Linked DNA regions of Elephas maximus indicus. The protein of the gene in region 1 binds, or shares a complex with, the protein of each later gene. Links are inferred from orthologs where the notes say so. Each region holds a gene or a part of one and is shown in the gene's direction. Other genes may lie near its edges. The genes, in order: THOC1, THOC7, SARNP and THOC6.

Evidence for each region.
Region 2: the proteins of THOC1 (region 1) and THOC7 are in contact, whole or in part, in a cryo-EM structure (PDB 7APK), measured with the Homo sapiens proteins. The link is inferred for Elephas maximus indicus from reciprocal best matches to the Homo sapiens genes THOC1 and THOC7. Residues at the interface, in NP_005122.2 of Homo sapiens: Leu10, Arg14, Glu46, Gln53, Arg56, Glu60, Ile63, Ile64, Asp99, Asp102, Cys103, Leu104, Pro105, Arg146, Gln151; in NP_079351.2 of Homo sapiens: Tyr47, Gln51, Leu54, Ser55, Ser58, Gln59, Phe62, Gly65, Lys66, Leu69, Val70, Met73, Arg76, Glu77, Asn80, Ile84, Ile88.
Region 3: THOC1 (region 1) and SARNP share a complex: the UniProt entries of both Homo sapiens proteins name them as parts of the transcription/export (TREX) complex. The link is inferred for Elephas maximus indicus from reciprocal best matches to the Homo sapiens genes THOC1 and SARNP.
Region 4: the proteins of THOC1 (region 1) and THOC6 are in contact, whole or in part, in a cryo-EM structure (PDB 7APK), measured with the Homo sapiens proteins. The link is inferred for Elephas maximus indicus from reciprocal best matches to the Homo sapiens genes THOC1 and THOC6. Residues at the interface, in NP_005122.2 of Homo sapiens: Ser227, Pro229, Ile230, Asp231, Tyr232, Leu234, Arg236, Val270, Ser273, Tyr274, Asp309, Leu312; in NP_001334633.1 of Homo sapiens: Leu57, Ser58, Ser59, Glu60, Pro312, Glu313, Lys315, Thr330, Asn331, Gly333, Tyr334, Ala336.

Annotation. Positions count from the first base shown.
Region 1 is NC_064829.1:26,423,704-26,430,709, forward strand, and holds the start of THOC1 (THO complex subunit 1), read left to right. Parts: upstream 1-3,867; 5' UTR 3,868-3,898; coding exon 3,899-3,952; intron 3,953-6,211; coding exon 6,212-6,285; intron 6,286-6,379; coding exon 6,380-6,440; intron 6,441-7,006. UniProt on the Homo sapiens protein: Component of the THO subcomplex of the TREX complex which is thought to couple mRNA transcription, processing and nuclear export, and which specifically associates with spliced mRNA and not with unspliced pre-mRNA.
Region 2 is NC_064838.1:69,157,892-69,165,171, reverse strand, and holds the start of THOC7 (THO complex subunit 7 homolog), read left to right. Parts: upstream 1-4,237; 5' UTR 4,238-4,351; coding exon 4,352-4,370; intron 4,371-7,280. UniProt on the Homo sapiens protein: Component of the THO subcomplex of the TREX complex which is thought to couple mRNA transcription, processing and nuclear export, and which specifically associates with spliced mRNA and not with unspliced pre-mRNA.
Region 3 is NC_064822.1:115,786,971-115,794,307, reverse strand, and holds the start of SARNP (SAP domain-containing ribonucleoprotein), read left to right. Parts: upstream 1-4,199; 5' UTR 4,200-5,627; coding exon 5,628-5,672; intron 5,673-7,337. UniProt on the Homo sapiens protein: Binds both single-stranded and double-stranded DNA with higher affinity for the single-stranded form. Specifically binds to scaffold/matrix attachment region DNA. Also binds single-stranded RNA. Enhances RNA unwinding activity of DDX39A.
Region 4 is NC_064830.1:60,085,781-60,092,957, forward strand, and holds THOC6 (THO complex subunit 6 homolog), read left to right. Parts: upstream 1-4,051; 5' UTR 4,052-4,254; coding exon 4,255-4,293; intron 4,294-4,806; coding exon 4,807-4,922; intron 4,923-5,037; coding exon 5,038-5,102; intron 5,103-5,187; coding exon 5,188-5,291; intron 5,292-5,376; coding exon 5,377-5,414; intron 5,415-5,496; coding exon 5,497-5,545; intron 5,546-5,678; coding exon 5,679-5,750; intron 5,751-5,837; coding exon 5,838-5,940; intron 5,941-6,022; coding exon 6,023-6,072; intron 6,073-6,152; coding exon 6,153-6,215; intron 6,216-6,317; coding exon 6,318-6,428; intron 6,429-6,510; coding exon 6,511-6,645; intron 6,646-6,718; coding exon 6,719-6,799; 3' UTR 6,800-6,879; downstream 6,880-7,177. Other genes in the region: TNFRSF12A (tumor necrosis factor receptor superfamily member 12A), read left to right, coding at 434-527, 1,282-1,386, 1,593-1,786. UniProt on the Homo sapiens protein: Component of the THO subcomplex of the TREX complex which is thought to couple mRNA transcription, processing and nuclear export, and which specifically associates with spliced mRNA and not with unspliced pre-mRNA.

The DNA of each region.
Region 1 (7,006 bases):
CTCTCTTTTTTAATAAAAATATTACATAACCATTGTCACATGATGAGGTGATCAAAGAACATGGACTCAAAAATGTAAAGGAAAAGTATGATAAAAGCATACCAGGCAGTTAAATAATACTGCAGTTTTTCTGGATTTGCGATGTTTGTGACATTTATAATGTACTTTCATTTTTCTCATTCCCCAAAATTATTCACTTTCATATCAATTTTTTATCCATAATTTGTATTCTTCTTCTTCTTAAAGACCATCTCTCCCAAAATGTATAAACTTCAGGCTAGATCAACCCTTCCTCTGATGTCTATTTTTGCTTCTATCATCAGTAATTTGTACCTTAAAATATATATACATCCATACATAAAGGCTTATACATACACATATACACACTCCATACAGAGATTGATTCTGCAGTTTCCTTTGTTCTCTAACTTTTTTTATATGATCTATATATTTTTTAATTTTCTTCAGTGATCTTAGAGGTATAGAATCTATTATTTTAGATTCTATTAACGCTTACCCTTTAGTTTTTTTTAAATACAGTTGATATACTTGATCCCACATCATTTTGTGAAGACTGTAATTTATTTTGGCTCCCCCTTTGATTAAGAAGTCAAAAAAATTTTTCCCTATATTAGATATCCCTTGGCCCTGCCTCCCATCCTCTGGGCCCACTTTTACACTTGCGACTGCTGTGACATCAGCTCCACACAGGTGAAAATGACAGCATTTCACCTCAGCTGCATCATATCTTTTTTTCCCTTGCCCAGGGCTTCAGTAATATTATGTCATTGCATAGAACACCTGTGAGAACCCTCTATGGACTCAGACATGCCAACAGCAACATTCCATGAAGCAGCCTTTGATGAATGAAAATTGAAGCCAGATGATAAATGCTGCCCCCATTTCTTCAGGCAGGCAGTTTTGAGGTACATAATTTGAGAGTCACCATCACTACAGCATTAGAAAGCACCCACTTACCCGGTCACTTCCTGATCACATGAGCGCTCCTGTTCACATCTACCACCGCTCAATTCACCCCTCTCTTCTCCCATGTATCCAGAAAACATCAACCAACTACCACTGTTCGGGGCAAAATCCAACTAGACTTCACCTGGCTCATGGGAGGTAATGCAGGTGTATACACCTGTTAGACCATAATCTCCAGCAGACTGGATCATTCAAAAGCTAATCCATCCCATTCAGAACTTCAGCAGGCAGTCCAACCTTCTCATTTTGGGACTAAGGAATGAAAAGGAAAGCAAACAATAACCCATACAATTGTAGATGAAACTCCCCCTCACCTCCTACATTAATTAGGACTTTTTTTTTTTTAATGATTTTATTTTGTTGCTGTTAATGTTGAGAATATACACAGCAAAACATACACCAATACAACCGTTTCTACATGTATTATTCAGCGACACTGATTACATTCTTCAAGTTATGCAACCATTCATACCCTCCTTTTCTGAGCTGTTTCTTCCCCATTAACGTAAACTCACTGCTCCCTAAGGTTCTTATCTAATCTTTCAAGTTGCTGTTGTCACTTTGACACCATATATAGTTTTTAAAAGAGTATAATGCTCAAGGCAGACTTTTTTTTACTAGTTAAGCTAAACTATTACTTGGTTTTAAGGCTGCAGGGAATGTTATTGGTTTAAGGTTTAAAGATTATCTCAGGGCAATAGTTTCAGAGATTCATCCAGCGCCCTTGGCTCCAGAAAGTCTGAAGTCCATAAGAATTTAAAATTCTGTTCTACATTTTCCCCCTTTTGATCAGGATTCTTCTATACAATCTTTGATCAGTAATGGTAGCAGGGCACCATCCAGTTCTTCTGGTCTCACAGTAGAGGCAGTTGTTCATGAAGGCAATTAGCCACATATTCCATATCCTCCTCCTATTCCTGACTCTCCTTCCTCTGTTACCCACCTTACTGCCATGAAGTCAATTCTGACTCATAGCAACCCTGCAGAACAGAGTAGAATTGCTCCATAGGGTTTCCAAGGCTGTAAATCTTTATGGAAGCAGACTGCCACACCTTTCCCTAGGTTTGAACCATCGACCTTTCCATTAGCAGCCGAGCACTTAACCACTGCACCATCAGGGCTCCTCTTCCTCTGCTGCTCCAGGCATAATTAGGACTTTTTGATAGCAAATGAAGTCCAACTCCAAACAGCATGAAGCTATAATAAAACGGATTTACTGGCTCATGTAACTAAAATGGATGGTGGTGGAGCTGTCATCTGACATGAAAAAGTCCAGTGCTCAAACTGTGCTGTAATCAATCTCTCTTTTCATCATCTCTCCCTCCTACCCATCTGTCTTCCCTACTTAACATTTTTATCTTCGTCTCTCTTCATTTCTTAGTCTATTTTTTCATCTTTAAGCTCTGTGTCTATGCATTGGCCTCACTTTCTTCTTCAGTAGATGGACTCTGTTCAAATGGTAGGGAAGATGGGAACAGTAGCCCAATATTCACCAAGGCCCCTGAAGTAAGAGGAATTGTGCTGGGCAACCAGTATGGCCAAAGGATATCATCCAACTGGCTGTTCAACATCCAAGTGCCCTTCCTAGTATAAACCCCAGCTCTTCTTGGGTTTGGATTTTGTGAAAAAAATTTTTTTTTTACTTCTGAGGTCTCAGCTATGTTCCAGATTAATAATCATTTTTAATGTGATGATAATCATATTACATCAATTACCTTCAGATTAACAAAGTATATTTTTAAACTAAATCCTTTTTGCTAATTTGGAAATTAAAGTTATACAATAAAACCTGAATGATTTGATTGGTTCTAAAAATAGACTGCAATGCTCCAGCTAGCCATCAGTATGCACAATTTCCACTTTGCGATAAGGCTCTGTGGAAATTATCTTTTTATTAGCTTCCTTTATCCTTGTTGGATGTAAATAAAGGAACAGGCAAGATACAGCAGGTCTAGCTTTCTTCACTTAGGTACATGCGGAAGCAAAGTTTGGGGTCGGTGTCTCTTACTGCACTGCATAACCCTAACGGAGTGTTACTGCCAGTAGGTTTCTCACTGGCCACATCTCTCTTGTGAGAGGAGGAAAGGGAAGAAACTGCTTAGGAGGCATGGTTTTGCAAGGGCTGCCTCTGCCCTGGACCCAGTGCCAGCCACTTTCGAATCAGCGCCGGGTACTGCACTTCTGCTCCGTCTTTCTCTTCAGTAGAGTCCTATTATGCGCCAGTAAAGTCAAATGAAAAGTTGACTTTAAAGTCATCTTGATTCCAAGAGTAAAAATATTAATAATAAACAATACTTACATCGCTTTTACCAATTTATAATGCGCGTAGTATTCATTATCTCATTCCAGCTTTTCAACAGCCCTGTGAGCCAAGTATCATTTCATTCCACAAGGCTAATATTCAAATCTAGAGTCCTTCACGACTTCAAATCTCAAGCTTCAGGCTGAATGACTACGGTTCGGCGGCCACGGCCATCATTTCCGCAGCTCGTTGTTTCTACCAAACGCACACACCTTAAATTCTCGGACACCAGTTACCTTCCTGCGCCGCCCCTCTGAGGCCGTAATTAGCCGCCATTCACCCAGCTTTCCAACCCCAGGGAAACCACCGCGATGCAGGTGGGCGACCCCGCTTTTTCCCTGCCCGGCAACGCCGAGCAGGCAGGGCGAGGCCGCCCACATCCCCCAACCCCAAGGGCCATACCCGCGAAGGCGGATTAAGCACTGCTTGACCGACTCAGACTTCCAACGCCCACCCGAACTCACGCGCCACGGAAGCTCTCAACTCACAACTTACCCGCCCCACGGTTCACAGGCCGCTCTAGCCGCACGGAGCTGCCAACTCGCTGCTCCCGGCCTGACGTCATCGGCGGGCGCCGCAGCGCGGTGGCGGGCGCGCGCTGCCGGGAAGATGTCTCCGACGCCGCCGCTGTTTAGTTTGCCCGAAGCGCGGACGCGGTTTACGGTGAGCTTCGGCGGCGGGAACGTGCAGGCCTGAGCCGGCGTTGTTCTTTGCTCTCCTGTCCTTCAAATTACTCGAATTTTCCCCTGGGGTAGAGCGGGAACAGAGGTGTGTACGCCTCGGCGTCTACTCCCGGCCCCGTCGGAGGCTGGGAGATAGGGAGGGGTGCGCTCCCTAGCTTTTTCGCGCGTCCTTTGCTGCCTGTCCCCGCCCTCCCGCCGGCAGGTCTCAGGACCCTGCGTTCTGGGTGCATTTGCGCTTTGTGTGGAGATCTCACCGGAAGAATACCTCCGGTGCGGTCCAGCTCCTCTGCAGTGTTAGCTTAGCGGGCAGGTGTCTCCAGAACTAGAAGGGGAGCTGCTGAAGGGGGAGGGCGGGAGTGGCTCAGCCTGGAGAACCGGTTCTCGCCCGAGTTTCTAAGCTGCCGAGGTGGTTGTACCGGCCGCCGGTTCACCACCCTTTAATCTTCCGTATCTCAGTCCCAATAGATGGAAAAGACGACCCTAAGTGGGGAAAAGCAAACAGGTCAGCTTGGGAAGGGTTACCAGATGTCACCGTATTCTTGCGTGTTGGAGAAGGGTGGTTTAAGCATTTGGGAAACACCGTTCCGAGCGCTTTCACGTTAGCTCATTTAACTCTTAGACTAGCACTGTGATAGGCTAAATTTTATTATCACCAGTATGTGAGATAGAAACTGAGACCCCCAAAAGATGTTAAGTGGTTTACTTCACTGATTCTTCTGACTCCAGACCCAGTATTCTTTATGTTGTGCATCGCTGCTCCCATTATGAAGAAACACTGTTCTTCCTAAGTTGTTTGGCTGTATTCTTCTTTAGCATTTGTACCAGTATTTCAAGGCATGGTTCAACTCTTCAGGTATTTAACTGTGATTGGGTGGTAATAGTGATGCCAGAATGAAAATTCTGTGGAAAAAAAAATTATTCTTTGTAGTCAGTCGTTTTCTTTCTGCAGGTTTTTTTTTTCCATATAGTGTGGGGTTTGTTTTTTAACGAATTATATAATGTCTGTGTGATCATAATAATTTTTTGTGTGTTTTTCTGTCATCCTTGGTGCCTTGAAATTCTAGGAAGAGTAACAGCTAAGAGTAACTACTAGGAATATCCAAGGTCGTATTAGTCCTGGAAAGGATGGTGTAATTTGAGTTCATCTAGTCCAGTGCTTCTCAAACTTTAGTGTGCAGTAGGCTCACCTGGCTACCTTGTTCAGTGCAGGCTCTGGTTCAGTATCTGGAGTGGGGCCTGAAATTCTGCGTTTCTAACAAGTTGCCAAGCAATGCCACTGCTGCTGCTGGTAGTATGGGTCTAAGACAGCCCTCTTATTTTATTGGTGAGGAAAATGAAGCAGAGAGAGTAAGAGATATGTCCAAGATTATACAGCCTATTGGCGCAGGACCAGGCAGTATTTCATTCTGTAGTCCATAGTGTCATCGTGAGTCGGAAGATACTCTGCAGCACCTAACGATAATGATAATGACAAATTAGTGGGAGAGCCAGGAATGGACATTTCAGCATAGCTCTTAACTCCTCTAGAGTCATCTAACACAGTGACTTTCCAAGTGTATGTGAATTTTCACAGAACGAATGACCTTACAGTATTTGTGTCTTTAAATTATGACTACTTTAAGATGGTCAGCAGTTATTTATTCAGTGCTAATTACATGTCAGGGACTGTGCTGAGCAGGCTACATAGAGAAGACGGACTGGAGGTGGGTCTTGAAAAACTTATAGAATTTGGATGAGAAGGTGGGAGTATGAATGTGAACACACTAGAATGAACTTGATAGAAAATGATGAAAAAATGGCTAGAATTTAGTGTAGCGTTTCATGTTGGAGAGTAGTGGGGAATAAGATTGGATAGACCGAGTGGGATAGCATCAAGGACCTTGAGAGGTAGGTATGAAAATTCAAAATGAAAACATATGAATAAGAAGCCATTTGGAGTTTTTTTTTTTTTTTTCCAAAGTAGAATGCCATCATGAATGTGATAGTTAAGGGGATGATATAAGGGGATACCTGGAATGAGAAAGGCTAGCTAGTACGCTCTTGCCGGGTTTAAAGTGATGAGGATTTGTATTAGTTGGTGCCATTTGGAATAAGGATCATGAAGAAAAAGGTGTATAGGTAATTTTTCCCAGGTATAAACATTTTTTTAGTTAGGCATACTAAGCTATATTAATAATTATATTTTTTTAGTAAATAATAACAAAATCTTTCTACTTATTTGCCATTTTTATTTTTCTAGAAGTCTACCAGAGAAGCCTTGAACAACAAAAACATCAAGCCATTGTTGAGTACCTTCAGCCAGTTACCTGGCAGGTAAGGCATTGACACCTATGAAAATTGTTTGCCTAAATCTTTATGCTTACCCTGAGCTGTTTAAAAAATGAGGCTGTCTTTCTTTCCTTAATAGTGAAAATGAAAAAAAATGCACTCTTGATCAAGCTTTCAGAGGTGTTCTAGAAGAAGAAATTGTAAGTTTGGTTTTCCTTAATTGTTAAAATTTTGCCAACAAATTACTAATCCCAGAGTTACTACAAAAAAACATTGCTTTTATTGTTAGATTGGATATTTAAACATGGTTAAGGCACCTTTTTTTATTTTTTGTACAGTGCACTTGCTACTTTGTGAAAGTGGACTTGGTCATAGTATATAAAACCGGAAAACCAAACCCACTGCCATTGAGTTGATTCTGACTCGAAGCAACCACATAGGGTTTCCAAGGCTGTAAATCTTCATGGAAACAGACTGCCATACCTTTCTCCTATGGAGCCCACTGTACCACTAGGGTTTCTTATAGTCAGTGTAGGCGTTGTATAATAATTAAGGATTTTGATAGCACAAATGCAATTTAAGGGTTTGGTTTAATAAATGAAGAAGAGCCCTCTGCAACTGAGTATAAAAAGAGTGTGGCTTGAGGTCTTACTGAGGAAGAACTATAGGTTAAAGTTGAATTTTCTGACTTTTCTGTGTAAACAGTGATGTATAGTGGCATAGATGTTCCAGTCCAAGAATGTTCAACATGGGATCTGGGTTCCCA
Region 2 (7,280 bases), on another chromosome or scaffold:
CTACAAAGCACATGCACAGTTTTTTAATTTAGATTTTTCATTTAAATTACAGGTGAGGAGGTAACGTGAAATGCAATCTTCCTCGGAGAGACAGTCAAGATGCTAGGGAGCCGCTACTGTCTCTTTTTGCCCAGCATCAGTGTCCTCAGCTTTTCTAACCACACCATTTCCTTCAACCTTCCCCCAGGTGTCTACACTGCAAGGACCACTTGTTCCTAATTCATTTTTTAAATCCAATTTCTTGAAATGTTTTAACTTAATACTTTCAGCATACCAATTTTAATAACTTATTATCAAATAACATGACTCTACTTTTTTTCACGTTTGCTCAGGTATTTATTTTTGATTGTTGTGGCAAATGTTACCCAAACCTAGCTTCCAGGTCCCTCCTATAGGCCAAATGAGGAGCTCAAAGTTTTTTACAGAAAACATCATGCCACCCTCCAACACATACACGTTATTAGGTGGGCGCTGTTCAAATGAGGTACCGGAAGGTAAAGCAGGTAGAGCAGCTACAGTGAATGGGGGAGCCCAGATTTGAACTGAGGTCCGCCTTGGCACAGAAACTATGTTTTCCCCATCATGCTCTGCAGTCCTGCCAAAGTACAAATGTGTTTTCTTAGGACAATTACTTCCTAGGCAAATTTCAAATTTGCTAGAAGAGCAAAAAAGAGAATGGAGCTGAAAGAACCACTTACTCCAAGGGCTGGCATCATACTCATGTCTCTGCTTATCCATTGTCAATTATCTGGTCTGAATTTTTAGATATAATTTAAAAACAGCCACAGTGGCCCCAGGACTGGCACAGCAGGCTGGCTTGCCCTCTGTGTGTATGCATGGCCTATCAACTGCTGGCAACGCTCTCCTGTAGGAAGAAACCCAAGAGTTTTTGCACCTCCAGGACATCCTGGCTGGGGGAAGACAGCTTTAAAAGGCAAGTACTGAGCACAAAGATCCACTTTTTCTTAATTCTTTTCTCCTAAGAATGAGTATTCTTAACTTCCATTCTATTTAATAAAAAAGGTATGTCTCACTTTGACCCCTGGATCTCTTTTATAAAACAGGTATAGACAGACCCTCTCCCCAAGAAAAATACACATACACAAAAAAAGTTTTGGTCACAACTACAGAGGCTTCAGGAATCCTTTCAAGTCCACTCATGGGTTCCTGGAGGCCCACAGACCCTTCTTCTAAAATAGAATAACCCTTCTTCTAAAAGCGTATGACAGAAACGCCTTCATCGTTTCACAGGCCCAGGGTGAAGCCACCAGCCAGCTCCCTCATCATTCTTTACACTTTCTGAAGGTAAATGGTAAATGCAGACTCAGACTAACCTCCTTGACTAGCCCCTCATACTCTCAAAGAAAACAGAATGATTTGAGTAAATCAAAGTCACTAAATCTAAGGTCATACAAGTTCAAAGTCCAGATCAGTTTTGTTATAACTTAAAATCTGCTACTTCCATTTCTGTGTTTCTGTCCACAGACACCTCCTTAGAAACAGAACTTCTAAAATTTACTAAAATATCTTCCCTTGCTATAAACTGTTTTTCTAACATACATGCATACGTGTGTGCGTGCATGTATACACACACAATATGAAGACAAAGCAATTAGAAAAATTCTTAAATGTTCAACACAAATTTGTGTCAATGCACTTGTGAATTAAAGTATGTAGCTGGAAAAGGAGATTTTAAAGAGGCCATAAAGGTTCACATTATGTTGTGTTTCCCACTACTGAATCAAGAACTTTCAGGAATGTTTATTTTCAAGTACACCTCATACTTTAACCCTTTCACGCTCACAGGTACCTGTAGGGACCAAGCACTTTTTTCTGCCTCTGAACGTTTATGGGAAGCTGCTGGACCACTGACAGTCTGTGCCACCGAAAGGCAGGGGTCTTTAGGACTGTCTGAGGGTGAGGAAACGGGAGTGTCCTGCAACAATTACTGTTTTTGCAGGGTATTGTACAAAGTGTCTGAATTTCTGGTAGGAAAAACAAATTTTGAAAATTTTTATTTGTTACATATATGTACTAATAGGCCCCACTGGGGACGCTGGGGTATAATTAACGAACGCTACTTCATATGCACTGCTGAACATTTAGAGTAGGCTTTTTTTTGTGGGAGGGGGCAAGGAAAAAAAAATCCATTCTACCCACCAAAAATTCAGATACACTCAATGATTCGGCACGCTTCCCTTAATGAAAACATACTATCAATAAAAAATTCAAAGCAGAAAATAATTGGTTCACAAAAGTGTTAAAGCAGGTCTTTGAACAGGCAACTTCAGGTTCAAAACCCTGCTGAGAATTTCCATTTCTAACAAGTTCCCACGCAAGGCTAAGGCCGCTGGTTAGGAGCCAATTCTGAGAATCACTAGCAGAGTAGTGGTTCTCAAAATTTATTATAAGAATCACGAGGGGATCTTGTTAAACTATAGATTCTGATTCAGTATATCTGGGGTGGAAATGCAAATTCTCAGCAGGGGTTCAAAACAGAAGAAACAGGTTTGAAGTCCTCCTTTAAAGTCTTGGTATTAATACATTAGAAATTTCTGAGCTCTGTCCAACAAAATTATAAATTACTAACTGAACTTCTGAAAGTGTCTGCAAGGCTCTATCTGTGAAAAACTGACAGAATGTCTCGTGAAAATACTTCCGAGGGGCAGTAACACATTCCTATAAAAACATTAAAGCTTATTTTAAACCATTAGATACTGTTTCAAAATCAGTATTATGATAAAACCGAGTAACAATTTAAAAAAACATCATTTCATCACTTGACAATTACCTTTTGAACAACAACAATCCCCACTAAAATGTCACTGTGGCTAGATAATCGATTGAAACTTTCAGTTTACTGTTTGTAGTGAAGATTTAAAGCAATCCTTCTGGTTAGCGTTCCCTCTCTCTAAAACCCAGTAACTGAACAGTCTGATGCCATGTGGAGCCAGCGTTTGGGCCCAATAGTGTTTCAAAGCCAGGGGAGGTTTCATATCCTAGGGGAGGGCAAGTGAAACCTCCGAATCTTCACTCACGGTAATTTAAAAATCGAAGGTGCTAATTCCTGTCACCGCTGTGAATGACACTATTGAAGTTTCTGGACTCGTGGATGTGTGTAAAATTTTGCATACGCCGACGTCTAGCTAGAGATTGAACACACTTTACAGCCATACGTTTGCATTTACAGCTCGTCCTCTTTGAAAGAACTAGGGAAAACAGGGAGGACCAGTCCCTGCTAGTAAAATACAATCAACAAAATTGAAACCACCGAATCCATCCTATACGACTGCTGCATCCGGATATGAAGACGCAGACAGTACTTGGGAGGCAAGAAAACGGGAAGAGAGTCACGACATGGCTCGGTAAAACACCAGAGCCGGCTCGGAGCTCAGCCCGGCGTCTTGCGCTAACTACCCATCGGTCCACCGAGGTCAACCCGGCTGCGCCGGTGCCCGGCTCCGGGCCGCCCCTCACCACTGCGCCGCTGCCACCTACGGGCACCTCGGCCAGGTGGGAGCTGGGGGACTTCGGGAAGGGATGCCAACAGCATCTGCAGGGCGCTCCGGAAACGTGTAACTCTGCGCGGAAACCAGCGTTTCTCATTGGGCCCCCACCCCTTCACTTCCAACTTCCCCTTAACACGGGGACGGGCGCACAAGACTTTTTTTTCTTTTTTTAAAATCAAAGCAGCAGATGAAAGCAGCCCTCGGTGGCCGCCGGCGGGTCCCGCTCCGTCGGGGAAGGGGGTGCCCGGCGCTGGTGCTGGGCGCCGCCCCCCAGGCCGACAAGTTCCTCTCCCCTTCCCGCTCCCCAGCACCTCTCAGCCCGGGAAGACGGCGCGGCCGCAGGGCCCGAGGCGCCCCCCGCACCCGGCCTCCCCGTGGCCGCCCCGCGCCGCGCAGCCCTGAGGAGACCCGCCGGGCGCGCGGGCGCCAACTTCGCCGGACCCTCGGCCGCGCGCCCGGCTCAGCCCGGAGCCCCCGCCGCCCTCAGCACCCCCGGGCGCCAGGCCCCCCAGCGGCGGCCGGACGGGGTGGTCCCAGGGAGGGAGCTCACCTGGCGGCGGGCGGCGGCCTCCGGGCGGGCGCGAGGGGCGGCGGCCGGGGCTGCACGGACGCCGCCGCCCGCCGGGACTCGCCTCCACGCGCCGCCCCCGGCCGCCCCGGCTCACGAGGCGCGGGGGGCGCGGGTCCCGCGGCGGCGGCGGCGGCGCGGCTCAGGCGGCGGCGAGGGCGGCCGCGGGCGGCGCCTCCTCCTCCATGGCTGTTTACCCGGCTGCATTGTGGGAGTTTGACCTCCGCCGCCGCCGCCAACCGCCGCCTCAGCTGGCGCCGCCGCCGCGCACGCCATGGGAGCCGTGACTGACGGTGAGGCCCCCGGCCGCCCCGGGACCCGCTCGGCGCCCCGGCCAGGCCCCCGGCCGCCCCGGAGAGACCCTAGTCTTTCTCCCCGGCCGCCTCCTCAGGACCCCCCGCCGCTCCCCCGAGACCCTCGGCCGCCTTGGGACCCCGGCCTCCCCAGTCAGACCTGTCGGTCTCCCCCGAGACTCCCGGCCTCCCTGGCCGCTTCCGGGAGCCCCTGGGCCTCCCCGGTCAGACCCCTCGGAGCCCCTGGGCCTCTCCCGAAACCCCCAGCCGCTTCCGGGGGCGCTGGCCTCCGCCCGTGTCCCCCGAAACCCCCGGTGACTCCCGGAGGCGGCGCAAGGCATGGAGAGGGGGTGCTGGGAGGGGGCTGGGCGCCCACGTGGGGCCGGGGCGGCCGGAAGCCGGACTGGGACCCCGAGGAGGCCTGGGCTGCCCGCGAGGTGACGGGGAGCCCTTGTGGGGGGTGGGGGTTGTGGAGGGCATGGAGCTGGGGGTCCGAGCGCCTGTGGAGGGCTGGAAGGGGATGGAAGCGCAGGGGTCAGGCGGGCTATCGGGGTGTGGAGGCCGACAGCTGGAGGGGTCCTCTGGGCAGACTGGGAAGGGGCCCCGAGCTACAGTGACTGGGAGTGGGGAGGGGCAGCTGGGGACGTCATCTGAAAGGAATAGATGTGGATGGGGTGCCTGGAGGGCAATCTGGGAGTGTGCCTGGAGACTTATTTGAAAGACGAGGAGCCACTATTGGGTGGGGGCAATAAAAGATTTGTGTGTATCCTAGGGAAGGTGGTTTGTTGGTTGGACTGGATGGAGGGAGGCTGGAGACAGAGGCTGAGTTTGTGTACAGTTGTGAGGGCAGCTTAGGAAGGTGGACGTGGTCAAGAAGGGCCCAGGGGGTGGTCTAGGGACTGAGGGCAGAAATTGTGTGGCACCCTGGGGAAGGTGGACAGGTATGATGAGCAACTGGGGGAGAGCCTAGCTTGGGGGAGGGGGTCTTTGGTCACCGGGTCTGTTAGAGGAGAGGGTGACCAGTAACTATAGATGCCTGTGGAGAGACCACTTCTGAAGAGTGGGGGCAGACAGGGTCTCCATATTAAAGAGCTGGGCAATGGAAGGGAGAGTGCTGAGCCCAAATTTGTGGATACGGTAAGGAGTAGGGGAGGTGGGAGGCTGTGAACGATCCAGAAACCTCATGAGGAGTTTCAACTTTGCTTCATTCCAGTTTCATTTATTCAGTAATATTTATCCTAGCTGGGCTAGGCCTTGGGATTACAGCCCAGAATGAACAGGCAAGATCTTTCTCCCTTTGAGGTTACAACCATTCCGCGGGAGAAAGGTGCAGCAGTCCGCTTCCATAAAAATTTACAGCCTCCGAAACCCTATGGGGCAGTTCTACTCTGTCCTGTAGGGTCGCTGTGAGTCAGAATCTACTCACCAGCAATGGGTTTGGGTGTTTTTTTTTTTTTTTTTACTTTTCTTTCTTTCCCAGAACCAATTGATTTCTCACCTGTTAGCCATGTTATTTTATGCATGTTGCTGCAGTGGTCCTCAGTCTGAATTTATTTACATGCCTTATTCCAGAAAATATTTACTTCAGCTCACCATAGTGAGAAAATACAGAATAATGTAAATAGATGATAAAACAGGGCAAAAAGGACATTGAGACTAAGAAAAACAGGAGGAAGCCAGACGCGGGGCAATCTTTAAAATGCAAGAAGTGAAGTGTGGTGCGTTAGTTAAGAAAGCTACAAGTGGCTGGGCTCCCTTAGCGGCCCATCCAAGAGGTGAGACCTTTCCACTCTGTGAGCCAGTGTTGGTGACAGAACGCAGCATTAGATACCCTGGACAAACTTTTCGTCTGATTTAAACACTAGAGAAAAAGTTTCTCTTTGAGGTCCTCATAAAGAGGAGCCAGTGTCATTCTTCAACCCCTTTGTTGGCACTGAGAATCATGGGCTGTTTCTTAGCACATCTCTGTTATAGGGGAAAGTAGGCTAAATCACAATTCAGAAAGGCGTGTTAAAGCCAATAAATAGCCCGTGTGGTTAGGTGGGTAGCTCTGCTGGCCTGGTTAATCCAGAGCAGAGTTTTTTGCTTTTTGTAAGAATATTTTAGACCATAAAAGGAAAAGACAAACCACAACGTCTTTGGGCAGTCCTCTATAACATGGGTTTCCTCATCTGAGCTTTTACTAAAAATCGAGATGTGAATAGTATGTGTGATCAGTAAACAAGTATCTATCGCGTACCTTATAGGCACAATGCAGGATGCTGGGGTTACAGCAGTAAGCTAGACAGAGTGCAGCCCTGCCCATTGGGAGAGAGAAGCAATAGCATGCAAACAAATAAGTAGATAAGATAGTTTGTGAGAACGTTATTAAGTTCTGAAATTGATTATGTTCTGAGAAAGAATGTAGTGTAATGATGACAAAGTAATGGGGAAGAGTGCTGACAATTAGGTTAAGATACAGCCATCAGGTAAGACCTCTCTGAGATGTAACATTGGAGGTGAGACCTGAAGTGGAAGAAAAGGAGCTAACTATGTGAAAAGCCCAGCAAAGTGTTCCAGGTACAGACAATAACTAGTGCTTTGTGCCCTTTAGGAAGATAAGGCCAGTAAAGCTGGGTGCAGGAGGGCCAGGAGAAGTGAAGTCCAAAAGGAGGTCAGAGACATACACCAGAGCTCCCAAAGAGCCGTACAGACGATGGGAAGGAGGCTGGATTGCCTTCTGTTGGCACTGGGAAGTGATGGGAGGACTGTGAGCAGGAGAGTTAGCAATCTGATACATCTTGTAGATCACTCTGGACTGCTGTGTAGAGAATAGATGCTATGCAGGCGAGAATGGTCCTGAAAAGTTCTTGGAGAAGTACCAGTACCTGTCCCTGGAGCTTAGAAGAGGGTTGATGCCATCTTATGAAT
Region 3 (7,337 bases), on another chromosome or scaffold:
CCCGACTCCGGGGTGTTTCTGGTCATCTGAACGTCGACCTTTAAATTCGTGTTAGCTTTAAAGCTGATGCCTGGTTAGGAGCAGCCCTTGCCCGCGCCTCTACCTAAAAATACCTAAACTCTTTTGAACCCGCCCCATACTTCTCCCAGCTTCCCTCTCTCGTTCGTCAGGTCCCCTCAGGGCTCTCTCCAGCACTCATCTCTCGGTTTGTAACTCCCCCACACCTCCTTTCCCCCTCCCACCTTTTTTCCTCAGTAACCCCTTTCCAGTCTCCCGGTAGCCCCTACCTGACAGCTCCCCTCCTACAGCACGGCGCTCGCTTCCACACCTGTAGTCTCCAGGAAGCAGCCGTCCCCGCCCATTTGTACTCTCCCTATTGGTGGAGCAGAATCAGCGCTTCCACCACCCATTGGCTGGCGGTCTGCAATGGAGACTCCAATTGGTCGCTATTTCCGTCGTTCAGAAGCGGCAGAACCCGCCCTTTTCTCTGTCCCACCTTTTGAGAGAGGTGGGGAAAGCTGCTGAGAAGAGCGAGAGCGACACCACTTCTTGACTAATGGGAAGAGCTGATGGTGTGGGGTGGAAGTAAGACTGACAGCGATTGGTCCGCCGTTTTCTGCGCGTAAGCGGGCGCTCTTGGCGGCAGAAGGGGCGGGTGGGGGCCTAGTGGAGTAGAGGGGGTAACAAGATGGCGGCGGAGACGGTGGAGCTTCATAAGCTGAAGGTACCGTGAAGGGGAGAATGGCTGAGTTGGACTTTTCTGGAAACTGGATTCTGCAGAGTGGCTTGCGCCTTCTTCTGCGTGTTCTCCTTGTAGCTTTTTTCCATTTTCTTTTCCCTCTCCCGCCGTAGTTAGTCGGCTTTTCTTTTGTGCCTGCCGTCTTCCCACTACTCCTCTACTTTTCCGTTTTTCCTCGTGGCTTTACAGTTATTTTTACTTGTTATTTCGACTTCCCAATTTTCTTAATCGCTGTATCGTCGGTCAGCCTTCCCCACTGGGTTGTGTAAGTGCCTTCTACCTGTTATACTCCTTTTTCGTTTCTTGTCAGAGGTGCATTACGTCAGCGGCCCCCTCTTTTTCCCCCTGCGCCGACACGGGACCCCCCCTTTCTTCCGAGTTGATGCTTCCCGTCTGTTTATCAAAGTTGAGATTCCCCTATTAGGTGATTGCACCTTTGTGTATTTGTGTCGAGGACCGAGACGTGATCCAGAAAATGCTTCCACTTCTTTTTACAGGTGGGGTTACGCCCCCGGAGGCTAACTTTGAAACCTGGGCGAGACCTGGGGTTCAGGGGACCTTAGCAGTTAGTAAAGGCACAGACACCTCAGATTTAAAAGTTTTTCGAGTTCTCTTTGTGGCTCCCGGTCCTCCAGGCCGCACCTCCTTACCTCCCCCCTTGGAGAAAGAACCCTTAGCTTCAGTTCTGTGGAATACAATGCCAAGGTTAGGTTTGTCTCAGTCCCTTGCATATCGCGTGGATGGACCTTGCATCTCTTGATATCACGACTGACACTCCGAATCACAGAAGCTATTTAAAGTTATGGGTCTTGGTAGCTTTCTCACATTTAGATTATCATTTTCGTTCAAGAAAAGAGTAGTTTCTTTTAGGGCGAATTAACTTGATAAGTTGTCCATTTTTGGTTTCACAAATAGTTGTCCCATCAGATGTTTTGGTCACGTTCTGGGAATCGTGATCGAAACAGGCCGATTTAGCCAAAAGTGAAAATTGATCCTTTAGAACTTGATGACCAGTAAGTTTAAGTAGTAAAGATAGAGGTCCTTTCTTTAATCACTTATTAGTTGACACCAATTATCCTTTCTGTGAAAGCCGATCTATTTCTTACCGTTGATTTCTAAATTGTACTAGTGGGTTTTTTTTGTTATGCTGGTGTTACTGCTAAGTTGATGGTACTGAAATGGGTAGGTTATATCGGTGGCCTCTTAATATCATGATGAGTAAAAACAAATTACGCCACCACCTTCATTGTATGTATACTTATATATAAATTACATACATACTACTGTGTTGTTATGTATATTATAAAAAACACACACAAAAGGAACTTTTGAGTGGATGAGATGAAAGGAAATATGAATAGAAAACTTAGTATTTTCTTCCTATTCCATGACTTGCCTTTTTGGATTTTGTGTTTATAGAGTTCCTCCTTCCGTCAAATCTGTATTTTTCAGATCTATATTAAATTTGCATTTAATTGGTTAAGTCGCTTTTACAGAATGTCCTCTGACCTGATTTCAGGTTTTAGATATTAAGAACATGAGGCATTCCAGGCAGCCTAAAAAGGACTCACCCTTTTAATCACATTTGCTTGTCTTTGCTTTTTCTCTAGAGTACTTCTTAACCTTTTGGAGGTCACAGATCTCTTTGAAACTCTGATGAAAGGTATGGACCCTCTTCCCCCACAAAAAGGCATGTATACATATTTTGCATGCAATTTGAGGGGCCTCGTAAAACTACCTGGTAGCCCTGAGGAGTCCATGGACCTCTAGTTAAGAACTCATGCCTTTAATTCTGACTTTCAGGACAGGTGATAGAGTGATCCTGACTTTTGGGTTGACTTAGGGTTTTATCTCTTTCTTTTTTTTTTAAACCTTTCCATTTTTTATAAAGGGGGTTTGGGGCTTTAAAATGGGACCTGGAGTTACTGTTAAGGAACAAGATTTGAAGTGAACGAAAAATATTATCTGTCTAAATTGGCACTGGAGCCCTGGTGGCACAGTGGTTGAGAGCTCAGGCTGCTAACCAAAAGGTCGGCAGTTCACATCTACTAGGTGCTCCTTGAAAACCCTATGGGGCAGTTCTACTCTGTCCTATAGGGTCTCTATGAGTCGGAAACAACTCGACAGCAACGGGTTTGGTTTTTTTGTTTTTGGTTTACACTGGCAATAAAGATTTTATAGAAGTGCAGTCATGCTAGCACAGTTGGAAAGAGACAGAACTGTGGATGTGGGTGAAAATGTCTTTTGAACTGTAACAGTACCAGATTTCTAGTCAAACATTAAAAAATGGACTATTGCAGAGGAGAGGAGAGAGGTATAGTAGTGTCAGTGTTAAGAATAGTGAGACATTTGCATTATTGAAGCATAACGTGCATATATGTGGATAGCTGAAGATAGTTTGGAAGGGAAAACTAGGTGAACTGTGTGACTATAAGGGTGGATTGCACTGATACTGAAAAGGGCCTTCTAAGTTGTGGAGCCCTGGTGGTGTAGTGATTAAGAGCTCGGCTGCTAACCAAAAGGTCAGCAGTTTAAATCCACCAGCCGCTTCTTGGAAAATCTATGGGGCAGTTCTGCTCTGTCCTATATGGAACAACAGCATCTAAAACAACGAATTGTGTAAGGAGTTTGGCTTTTGTCATGTAGGCAGAAGGAGGATGATCAGACCTGTCTGTGTTCTACTGGCAGTGCAGAGGGTGGAATCTGGAGGGGGACAGATTTTATCATTACTTCTCAGCTTAAAACCTTTTAATGTCTCTCCAATGTAGTTTATAACACTCCAACCACAGTGGCTTTATTTCATTTTCTCAGAATGGCTATATTCATTAATTTCTAACACTAACATATCATTTACTATGTGGCAAGCACTGGTCAATGCTGTTTACATACATTAACTAATTTGATAAGGTAAATACTACTATTATCCCATTTTAAGATGAGAAAACTGAAGTGCAGAGAGATTAAATAACTGATTAAGTAATTTGCTGTATGTCACAGCTAAGTTGTGGTTCACACCCAGGCAGTCTGTCTCAAAAATTGATGTTCTTAGATCACCATGGACTACTGCCTCTTGTTTTTACCTCAGAATCTAGAACCTTCACAAATGCTGCAGTTTCCTTTTGCCTACAGTGCTCTTGCCACCTCCCACTCCCCGCAATACCTTTGTCTAATCAACTGCTAGTCACCCTTCAGATATCATTCAAGCATTGTTTACCCAAGGAAGCCTTCCCTGCCCTCTCTATCCATGCACATGATCAGACCTCTTTTCATACGCTTTTATAGAGCCTTGAGCTTGTTTTTTTTTTTAAGTCAGTTAAACACTTTTTATGTGATCATTAATTGCCTTGTTCCCCTACTAGATTGTAAGTTCCATGCAGGCAAAGACTTTTTTTCCTTATGATTATTTTCCTGTATTTAAGATAATGCTTGATTCACAGTAGGTGCTCAGTAACTATTTGTCAAAAGACCTGAAATAAGGTAGTGCTTATTAGAATGGGAACAAATTTGGAATGTAGAATTGTATGAATTTATAGATTAGTTAAATGTGGGAGGAATGAAAGATGACTCCAAGATTGACTCCTTTAGGTTGGGAAGAGGAGGAAGAGCCAGTCTTGTATAGGAGAGAAATTTAGTTTTAGGCTTAAGAGTCTTTAGGACGTCACTTTGGAGATGTCTAGTAGTCAATTGGAAATATGGGGTTTTTTTGCTGAAGAGCTGAGAGTTTAGGGGTAAAAGTCTGGGTTTCATTTTAAAAATACTTATTGAGTACCTACTACGTGCCAGCTACCGTAAAGGTGCTAGGAATTCAGCAATGAACAAAACAGACAAAAATCCTTGCCCTCATGGAGGTTATATTTTTCTGGAGAAGGCACAATAAAATGGTGATATGGTCTGTAGAGAAAAACAGGAAGTACAGTGGGAAAGATGCTGTCATTCTAAATAGGGTGACCAGGTAAGGTCTCTTTGAGAAGATGTTGAAGCAAAGATTTGAAGGAGGTAAAGCAGTGAGCCATGTGGAAAGTGTTAGAGGGGTAGCGTAAGGGGCCACGTGGCTTATCGAAGTGAGCAGTGCTAGTAGGAATAGTAGAAGAGGGGTCACAGAGGTAATGGTGGGGAATGGGGAATAGATTGTGTAGGGCCTTGTAGGTGATGATTAGGACTCTAGCTTTTATCCTTTATGATATGGAAAACCAGTGGGGGAATTTTTTAATAGAGGAGTGACATGACTGACTTCAATTTTCTTTTTTTGTGTGAACATTTTCTTGTTGTTTAGGTTAAGTTTACAGAGCAAATTAGTTTTCCATTCAATAATTTATGCACAGCTTGTTTTGTGACCTTGGTTGCAAACTCTTGAATGTGTCTGCACTCTCCCCCCTTCCTTCCTGGCTTCCTGTATCCATTCACCCAGCTTTCCTGCCCCTACCATCCTTCTGAGCTGTGTTTTTAGGCAAATGCTGCCCCTTAGGTCTCATATAGTTGATTGTTCTGAGATGTACATTCCTCACTGGTGTTAATTGTTCATCTTATAGGCCTGTTCTGCTGTATGGCTATAATGTGATCTCTGGGAGTGATTTCAGTTCCAAGTTAGAAGAGTGTCTAAGGAGTATAGCCTTGGGAGCTCCCCCAGTCTCTATCAGACCAGTAAGTCTGGTCTTAGTTTGAATTTTGTTCTGTATTTCTCATTTCATTCTGTCCATGACCTACTATTGTGGTCTCAGTCAGAGCAGTCAGTAGTGATAGCTGAACACCATCTAGTTCTTCTGGACTCAGGCTGGTGGAGGCTGTGGTTCAGGTGGTCCATTAGTCCTTTGGACTAATATTTTCCTTGAGGCTTTGGTTTTCTTCACTCTTCTTTGCTCCAGACAGGAAGAGACCAATTGTATCTTAGATGGCTGCTCGCAAGCTCTTGAGACCCCAGGTGCTGCTCAACAAGGTAGGATGTACAACATTGTATGGAGTAAGATATGCCAGTTGATCTAGATGTCCCCCGGGACTATTCTAACTCTCAAGACCAGTATCTCAGTCCCATGAGGTATATGGTTATGGCTAAGACGTTTTCATGACTATGTCCCTTGTGTGCACAACTACATACATGGATGTGTTTGTAGCATGTACACATACGTATGTCTGACTTAAATTTTCAAAGAATCAATCTGACTAGAGAATAAACTATAGTGAGATAACAGCTGAAGAGGTTTTTACAATAGTCTGTATGATAGGAAGACCTGAGGAGTAGTGTTCAAGGTGATGAAAAGGAATTAGATTCTAGATATATTTTGAAAGTAGAGGTGACAGGATTTGCCAGTGATTGGATTCAGGGGAGTGAACACGTTTGTTACAAGTGAAATGAGAGCAAAAGAAGGAATCTTAGTGAATACCAGTATTTATGGGGTTGGGTAGAGCAAGAGCTAGTAAGGAGGCTGAGGAAAAAACCAAACCTGTTGCCATCCGGTCAGATTGATTCCAACTCATGGTGACCCCAAAGGACAGAGTAGAACTGCTTCATGGGGTTTCCAAGTTGGTGGATTCGAACTGCTGACCTTTCGGTTAGCAGGCCAGCGCTTAACCACTGTGCCACCAGGGTTCCTTTGAGGCTGAGGAGGAGAGAGAGGTAAAAGAATCAAGAGAGAGCAGTGTTAGCACCTTAGTAGTTAAGATTATGAGCTTGAATCACAGAGACCCTAGCTGGCATATTGGCTCCACTGTTTACTAGCTGTGTGATCATAAACCAACTGAATCTGTTTAAGTCTCATTTTCTTAATTTATAAAATGGGGATCATAATACCAACTACATAAGTTTGTTTTAAGGATTAAATGAGAAAATGCATTCAAGGTACTTAGCATCTGGTCTGCTACATACTCCAAAACCCATTGCTGTCGAGTCGATTCTGACTCATAACCCAAAAAACCCAGTGCATAGTGACCCCATAAAACCGTATTGTTGCAGTCAAGCCGATTCCAACTCATAGTGCCCCTATAGGACAGAGTAGAACTGCCCCGTAGAGTTTCCAAGGAGTGCCTGGTGGATTCAAACTGCTGACCTTTTGGTTAGCAGCCGTAGTCCTTAACCACTAAACCACCGGGGTTTCCAGTGACCCCATAGGGTTTCCAAAACTATAAATCTCTACTGAAGCAGACTGCCACATCTTTCTCCCATGGAGCTGCTGGTGGTTTGAACTGCTGACCTTTTGGTTAGCAGTGGATCGCTTTAACCACTGCGCTGCCAAGGCTTCTTATGGCATTTACTAGTACTTGAAAATAAATACGTGTTTGAGTTTCTGCTATGTGAAATGTTGTACATGATATAAAATGTCTGTTCTCTGAGAGTTTACAAACCAAATGGAGAGATCAAACCAAACCAAACCTGTTGCCGTCAGGTCGATTCTGACTCATAGCAACCCTATAGGACAGAGTAGAACTGCCCTATAGCGTTTCCAGGTAGCGGCTAATGGATTCGAACTGCCAACCTTTTGGTTAGCAGCTGAGCACTTCACCACTGTGCTATCAGGAGAGATTAACAAATGAAAAATATTTCCAATAAAATATTTGAATTAAAATTCAAGATTAGTAAATGACAATAAATAAGTTATTAGTGTCA
Region 4 (7,177 bases), on another chromosome or scaffold:
TTAATATGCTACTGCTTCCTAAGGTGCGGTTAAGCGGCACGCGGTAAACTCTCAATGAATGTTAGGGATTATTTTTGTTCTGTTGTTATTGTTAAGCCTCTGGGGCCCTTAAGAAAGTTGCCACCATCTCTGCGATGAGAGCTGTTTCGTGTCTCTCTGATGGCCGTCCCCCTCTGGACTTGGTACCGAGAGGGCAGGCCCGCCTCTGCGACCCTGCAGGGTCCTGGGCGCAGAGCTAGTGTTTGTTGAACGAATGACAGACCTTAGCCAGTTTGCAAGGCGGGGCGCTGGGAGACTGGCTGGGCGCTGTGAGGAGCGGGGCGGGGTGGGAGGAGGCTCCGCCCCGGAAGGCGGGGGCGAGGCGAGGACGCGCTGCCTCCAGCAGCAGGCTGGCAGAGGGAGCAGACGGCGGCGGTTTGTGGACGCGCGCACCATGGCTCTTGGCCCGCTGCGTCCGCTGCTGCGGCTTCTCGTGCTGGGACTCTGGCTGGCGCTGTTGTGCGCTGCGGCTGGGGAGCGGACGCCAGGTACGCGGGCGCGGGGCCGGTACCCGGCTTGGAAATGTGGGGGCCGCGTGGCTGGGAGGACCCAGGGCTGGGGGCAGGGGTGCCGAGTCTGGGGGCTTGGGAAATGTGGGCCGAATCTAGGGGAACGAAGCAGGCATGAGAGTCCGGGGCCAGGTGGTCTCCAGGCACCGCATTCCCTGGCTAGGGGAGATCCCATCCAGCTCTAAGCTTCATCCTCAGTCCGGGCCTCAGTTTTCCCTCCTGCCTACGTCGGGGGCTTCTTCCTGAAAGTCGGGGCTCGAAGAGGGGGCAGAAAAAAGTTTGTGGGCGGGATGTCTCATCTGCTAACGGGTCACGCCCCCAGCCTGCACAGTATGGGGTCTGCTCATCCCCAGTGACCCGAGATTGGAGATGCCGAGAGACACGGGCGTCTTTGCCCCCTATGCCATGTGGGGTGCCCCCTTCCGTCCGTCCGGTGACTTAAGTGCCCAGCTATGCGGGGGGAGGGGCCGGGGTCGGGCCTGGTGCCCGGGAGTGAGTCACCCGCCAGCGACGGGTGGGGGCTAGGTTGTGGAGGACCTGATCCCTCCCCCCTAGAGACTGGCGCTTCTCTCCCACATCCCACTGCCGTGTCCCAGACGGGCCGTGCGGTCACCTGTGAGGAATGCGGGGGAGGGCGCTGGTGACTCAAGTCATTCGAGCCGGCCGACCCTGACCTCAGCCCCCAGAATAGCCGCGCCCCGCCCCAGCATCTGACCCGAGGCCCCCTCCCCAGGTGCTGCCCCCTGCCCCCGCGGCACCTCCTGGAGCTCGGACCTCGACAAGTGCATGGACTGTGCGTCGTGCCCCGTGCGGCCACGCAGCGACTTCTGCCTGGGCTGTGAGTGGGGGTGGGGTCGGACCCGGTGGACCCTGGACCCGGAGAGAGGGATGCTGGGGTGGAGAGGGGACTGTAGGCTTTCCATCTGGAGCAGAATCCGGAAGAGGGAGAGTGGGGAAGGGGCTCTGATCAGAGCTGTGAATGGAAGGGGAATGCATGAGGCTCAGATCTGGGGGGTGAGGTCTCACTTCACATCCTGTCCCCAGGTGCTACAGCCCCTCCAGCCCCCTTCCCGCTGCTCTGGCCCATCCTGGGGGGTGCCCTGAGCCTGGCCCTTGTGGTAGGGCTGCTTTCTGGCTTCCTGGTCTGGAGAAGATGCCGCAGGAGAGAAAAGTTTACCAGTAAGTGTGCCCCAGCCTGCCCGCCTCTGTCACTGTTCAGTTTCTCCTTCTCACTGTGACCCCTCTTGTCTTGCAGCCCCCATCGAGGAGACTGGCGGGGAGGGCTGCCCAGGTGTGGCACTGATCCAGTGACAGTGAGCGCCCCCTGCCAGCCTGTGCTCCCACGCATTCATTCATTCATTCTGGAGCCACCCCTTGCCTCCCAGACTCAGCCTGTGCCAGGCTCAGCCAGCCACCCGGAGGGGTGATGGTGGTGAATCATCTCTGAGGCCTGAGGTTTTGGGGAGCCTTCCAAGGTATCTCTCATTGCCTGGTCTCAGGCTCCAGGACAGAAAGGAGCCCCATCCAGCTCACACACTATCGACCACTGACACTGAGGAACTGCAGCATTTGCACAAGGGGGTCTCTACCCCCCATGCCCTGGGGGGCCAGGCCGACCTGAAGGGCAGACACAACACTAGGCCCCACCCATTCAGATGTGCTGAAACGCTGACAGGGGTCTCAGCCTGGGGGGTTAGGGACCTGCTCTGAACACTAGGGGCTGGCCCTCTAGGGGGGCCGGCTCTACCACACTGCCTCTACTAGCCCCCAAAGTGGGGAGATATTTATTTTGGGGAAAAAGTTTGAGAGGGAGGGAGAATTTATTAATAAAAGAGTTTTTAACTTTAAATGGCTTGGAGAGTGGCAGGGTCCCAGCTCGACTTCCCTGGCTGGAGGGAGGGAGTGAGTCAGGCAGCCGCGGGGGTGGGGGCGAGGCTCTGACTCACACATTCTCAATGCCTGAGCCCAGCCTGCCAGGGCCTGGCTAAGCCCAGACTGTTTTCCAGGGAATATCTTGAGGGAGAAGCCACGCATCCGGCACCCCAGCTCTCCCTAGGCCCCAAGTGAAGCCTTCACTTGTTCAGCAGTCTTTATTCAGTGCTCCTCAGTAGCATGCCTTCTTCCCCAAGCTCCTGCCCCTCCTGCCCTCCCACTCAGGGCTCTGTCCTCAGTGTCCTCCTTGGTGGGGGGGAAGGTCCTGATGCCCAGAGGCCTGGTCTGGTGGAGGAGGAGAAGCAGGGAAGCTTGGTGCTGGTCTCCCCTATGTGTGGAGAAAGGCAGGTGGGCAGGACATTACCCACCAGTACTCAGAGCTCCATTATGTCCCCAGCTGTGGTAACAGAGTAGTGGGGGATGGAGTGTCCCCCAGCCTCAGCAGCTGGAGGGCTTCAGGGATCAGGTTCCCAGAGTAGCACCACAGATGGAGCTCAGAGCAAGGGCTCCTGGAAGAGGAAATGACAGGGCAGGGCTCGGCTGGCCTGGCAGAGCCACCCCCCACTAGATCCAGGTCACCACCCTCCAAGGAGTCAAGATGGGAAACAACCCAGAAGCTAAAAATAGCAGGATGAGGCAGGGCCTGGAGGCTGGGCTGAAGACCAGTGTGATCCTCCAGGGGGCTGGCAGGTGGAAGGTGCCCACCTGAGTGGGGGTAGGACTGGAGGTAAGGCCCTGAGAGGGCTGCAGTAGGGGTGGTGGTTGTGCAGTCTGAGTTGAGAGAAGTGGGTGGCCATGTTCTCCTCGGACAAGAACTGCTTGTGCAAAGTCTCCCTGGGGAAAGAAGGGAAGGCAGGTTGGCTGGGATATGGAGAGGGGAGGCAGCCTGATGGGGGTCAGAGGTGGGCAAGGTCTAGTTGGGAGTCCCTCCTTGCCTCCAAACTCACTGCACCTCCTCCAGGCGCCGCTTGGTGCTCATGGGCACAGCTTGGAGAGGGAAGCTGAGAAGAGACAAGAGCCAGGTGCATCCCACCCTCCTGGCCCCATGCCAAGAGGATCTGCCCGCCTGAGCCTGCAGCCTCAGCCAGCAGCCCCCATCCCTGTCTTAGCTGACCCCCTAAGTCACGTCTCCTCTCCTGGGCCATCCAGCAGCCCTGAGCCCCCAGCCCCATTCCAGTCTCAGTTCACGCCCAAGCTCCACCAGCTCACCCGCCATGTGTCATACTGCAGACCAGCCCTGAGCCCCCTGGCTAGGCCCACCCCGGGGGCCTCACACGCACCTCGCGTCCAGGCTCCAGGTCGCCCCTGAGGCAGCACTGGGGTCGCGCTGGGTCCGACCCCGGGGGCCACGCTCTAGGGGCTGCGGCAGGATCTTTGGGGCTACCCGTCCTTCGAGCAAAGGGGAGGGATCCGCCCGACAGGGGCGGTGCCTTGGGGGGGCGTGGCACGGCGGGAGGCGTGGCCTTGGCGCGCGCAGCAGTGAGCATTCACGCAGGCGCGGAAGACGGGCGGCACGCGGCTGGAAGGCGGGTCTGTTCAGCGGGGTGGGGGAGGGGATCAGGCGTAGCAGGGCTACAGGGGGCGCCACGTAGTGCCGCGGCCTTCAAGGTGCTCATCTCGGTTCGTGGGGCTTGGGGCGGAACGCGGAAACCACCTTCGCGCCGGACCGGCGGCAGTATTGGGACGTGGGGCGCCGCAGACGAGTTGGTCGCGGGCACGTCCGGACTCGTGAAGCCGCGTCTCACGAAGCATTCTGGGACTTGTAGTCCTCGAGATGGAGCGAGTAGTGCCACAAGCGGTTCCTCTGGGTCAGGTGAGGCAGGCACGGGACGCAGGGCATTCTGGGGTTTGTATTCCAGGCCCGGGTCGACCGGGCGGGCGAAGAATCATGTCCCGAGCCCTGTTGCGCGTGGGTTGCTAGTGGAAATCGGACTCAGACCGGGAGCCAGAGGAGTACCCCAGAAGTGAACACGTTTTTAAGTATTGGGGACAAGAGAACCACTTCTTAAGCGCTTTTTACATGGCAGACCCTTTGCGATGCTGTTTATATACATTAGCGCATCTAATTGAGACACAAACTCCAGTGAGTTCACTTGATACTTGAGGAAACTGAGTAGAGAAGCTAGGGAGCTGGCTCGAGGTCCCATTAGGTAGCACACCTGAGCTCTCCCTTTCCTCATCCTCTTCTTGGCGCCTCCCAGGGTTGTATGGGCAGGCGCCTGCGGGGTGGGCTGCCTTGAAGGAGGGCTGAGAAGTCTGGACAGTGGGGGGCTGGGCTGTAGCAGGGCTAGAGGTCTGCAGGTTCTTATCCCACCTCTCCTCCCAGATGGAGGTGTTTCAGGCCCTGCAGCGGCTGCACATGACTGTCTTCTCCCAGAGTGTGTCCCCCTGTGGGAAGTTCCTTGCGGCAGGCAACAATTACGGGCAGATTGCCATCTTCAGGTACCCATGGCCCCTGTTCCCCTGCACCCACTAGTCCTGGCACTCGGCCTTCCTGGGACTGATGCTCCCGGCTTCTGGCTCTTGGGCCCCCTCCCCTTTCCCTTCTCAACTTCAGCTTGTCCGCTGCTTTGAGCTCCGAGGCTAAAGAGGAAAGTAAGAAGCCTGTGGTGACCTTCCAAGGTGGGTGCAGCTGTCAGGTCTGGCTTTGGGGATCCCAGGGTGGAGGAAGGGGCCAGATGGGGTCGCTCAGGTTCTTTCCCTTTAGCCCATGATGGGCCCGTCTACAGCATGGTGTCCACCGATCGACAGCTAGTCAGTGCCGGGGATGGGGAGGTAAAGGCCTGGCTGTGGGCAGAGATCCTCAAGAAGGTAAGGAGTGTAGACCTGGGGAACAGGCTGGGTGCCCAGGCCCAAGGAGAGCCTTAGAGGTCACTTGGCGTTTTCTACCATGAAGGGCAGCAAGGAGCTGTGGCGTTGTCAGCCACCATACAGGTGAGCCAGGGCCACGTGGGGGGAGGCACTTGGGTATGTAGGCACCCTTGAACCAAAGCGGACCTTGCTTTTCCTCCCCCAGGACCAGCCTGGAAGTGCCTGAAATCAATTCTTTGCTGCTCGTCCCCAAGGTCTGAGGCCCCCTAAGTCCTTTGTGATTGGGGGCTCCGCCCTGCTGTGTTCTTGGCCCAAACTTTGGTCCTTCCACCTGTCCCCGTCCTGATTTGTCATTGATTTCCAGTCCTGCCCTGCCTTTCTTTGCAGGAGAATTCTCTTATCCTGGCTGGGGGAGACTGTCAGCTACACACTATGGACCTTGAGACTGGGGCCTTCACGGTGAGCAGGGCCTGAGAGCCAGGGGCAGGTCACGTGGGGGCGGGGTGCTTTCTGGACCTGCTCCTGACACAGCCCCTCTCCCCGCAGCGGGCCCTCCGGGGCCATACGGACTACATCCACTGCCTGGCGCTGCGGGAGCGGAGCCCCGAGGTGCTTTCGGGTGGTGAGGATGGGGCCGTGCGGCTTTGGGGTAAGGGGCTGGCTGGTTGGAGGGAGAGATGGTGGTGGGGAGGATGGGACAAGGATGGCACCCCTCAAGGTTCTCTCCACAGACCTCCGCACAGCCAAGGAGGTACAGACAATCGAGGTCTATAAGCACGAGGTGAGGCCATGCCCCAGCCCCATCCTCCTTGCTCTTCCCCAGCTTCTCTGTATCCGCAACTCTCTTCTTCCTCCCTCTAGGAGTGCTCCAGGCCCCACAACGGGCGCTGGATCGGATGCTTGGCAACCGACTCAGACTGGATGGTGAGCTGGCCAGAGGGTGGGGTGGGATGGGTGGCAGCTCTGGGCCCTGCTTTCAGGGGTTCATGGCTCACAGCGGCCGGGGACCCCTGCCTTTCTGGCCAGGTCTGTGGAGGGGGCCCAGCACTCACCCTTTGGCACCTGCGGTCCTCTACACCCACCACCATCTTCCCCATGCGGGCGCCACAGAAGCACGTCACCTTCTACCAGGACCTGGTAGGCTCTCTGTCTCCTTCTGCCGCCCTTGCTGGCTCCCGTCTCCAGCCCTGACCCTTGAGCCCTCTCTTGCCCTCTACAGATTCTATCTGCCGGCCAGGGCCCCTGTGTCAACCAATGGCAGCTGAGCGGGGAGCTCAAGGCCCAGGTACCAGGCTCTTCCCCGGGGCTGCTCAGCCTCAGCCTCAACCAGCAGCCAGCGGCTCCTGAGTGCAAGGTGGGTCCAGTGAAGGGATGGGATACTGGGACGCTGGGGTTGGGCAGGGCCCTCATGCCCCTCTTGTCTCCAGGTCCTGACAGCTGCAGGCAACAGCTGCCGGGTGGATGTCTTCACCAATCTGGGCTACCGTGCATTCTCCCTGTCCTTCTGACCCACCAACACACCCTTCACCCCAGGAGTTTGGAGTGCTTTTTTTCCCTTTCTTTTTAACAAATAAAGTTTCCAACGTTTCTTCCATGTGCTTCCTTCCCAAGAATGGAGGCCAAGCTGGTGTTGTGATTTATATATTACTCTGTCTGATCTTGATACATAAATACACATTGTCATCCTGGCCTGGAGAGTGCCCAGTGCTTAGAAAAGATAGACCTATAGACTCCTAAAATAGGCAGCTCTGCCCCACCACCCACCTCTTACCCCTGGCCCCAAAAGCTGGCCCCTGCTCACTGTGAGCCCCTGCCTGGGTTTCGGGATGGGGAGGGCACCAGCCCCCCTTGGAACACAATCTGGAGCCTATGGCTCCACTGGCCCG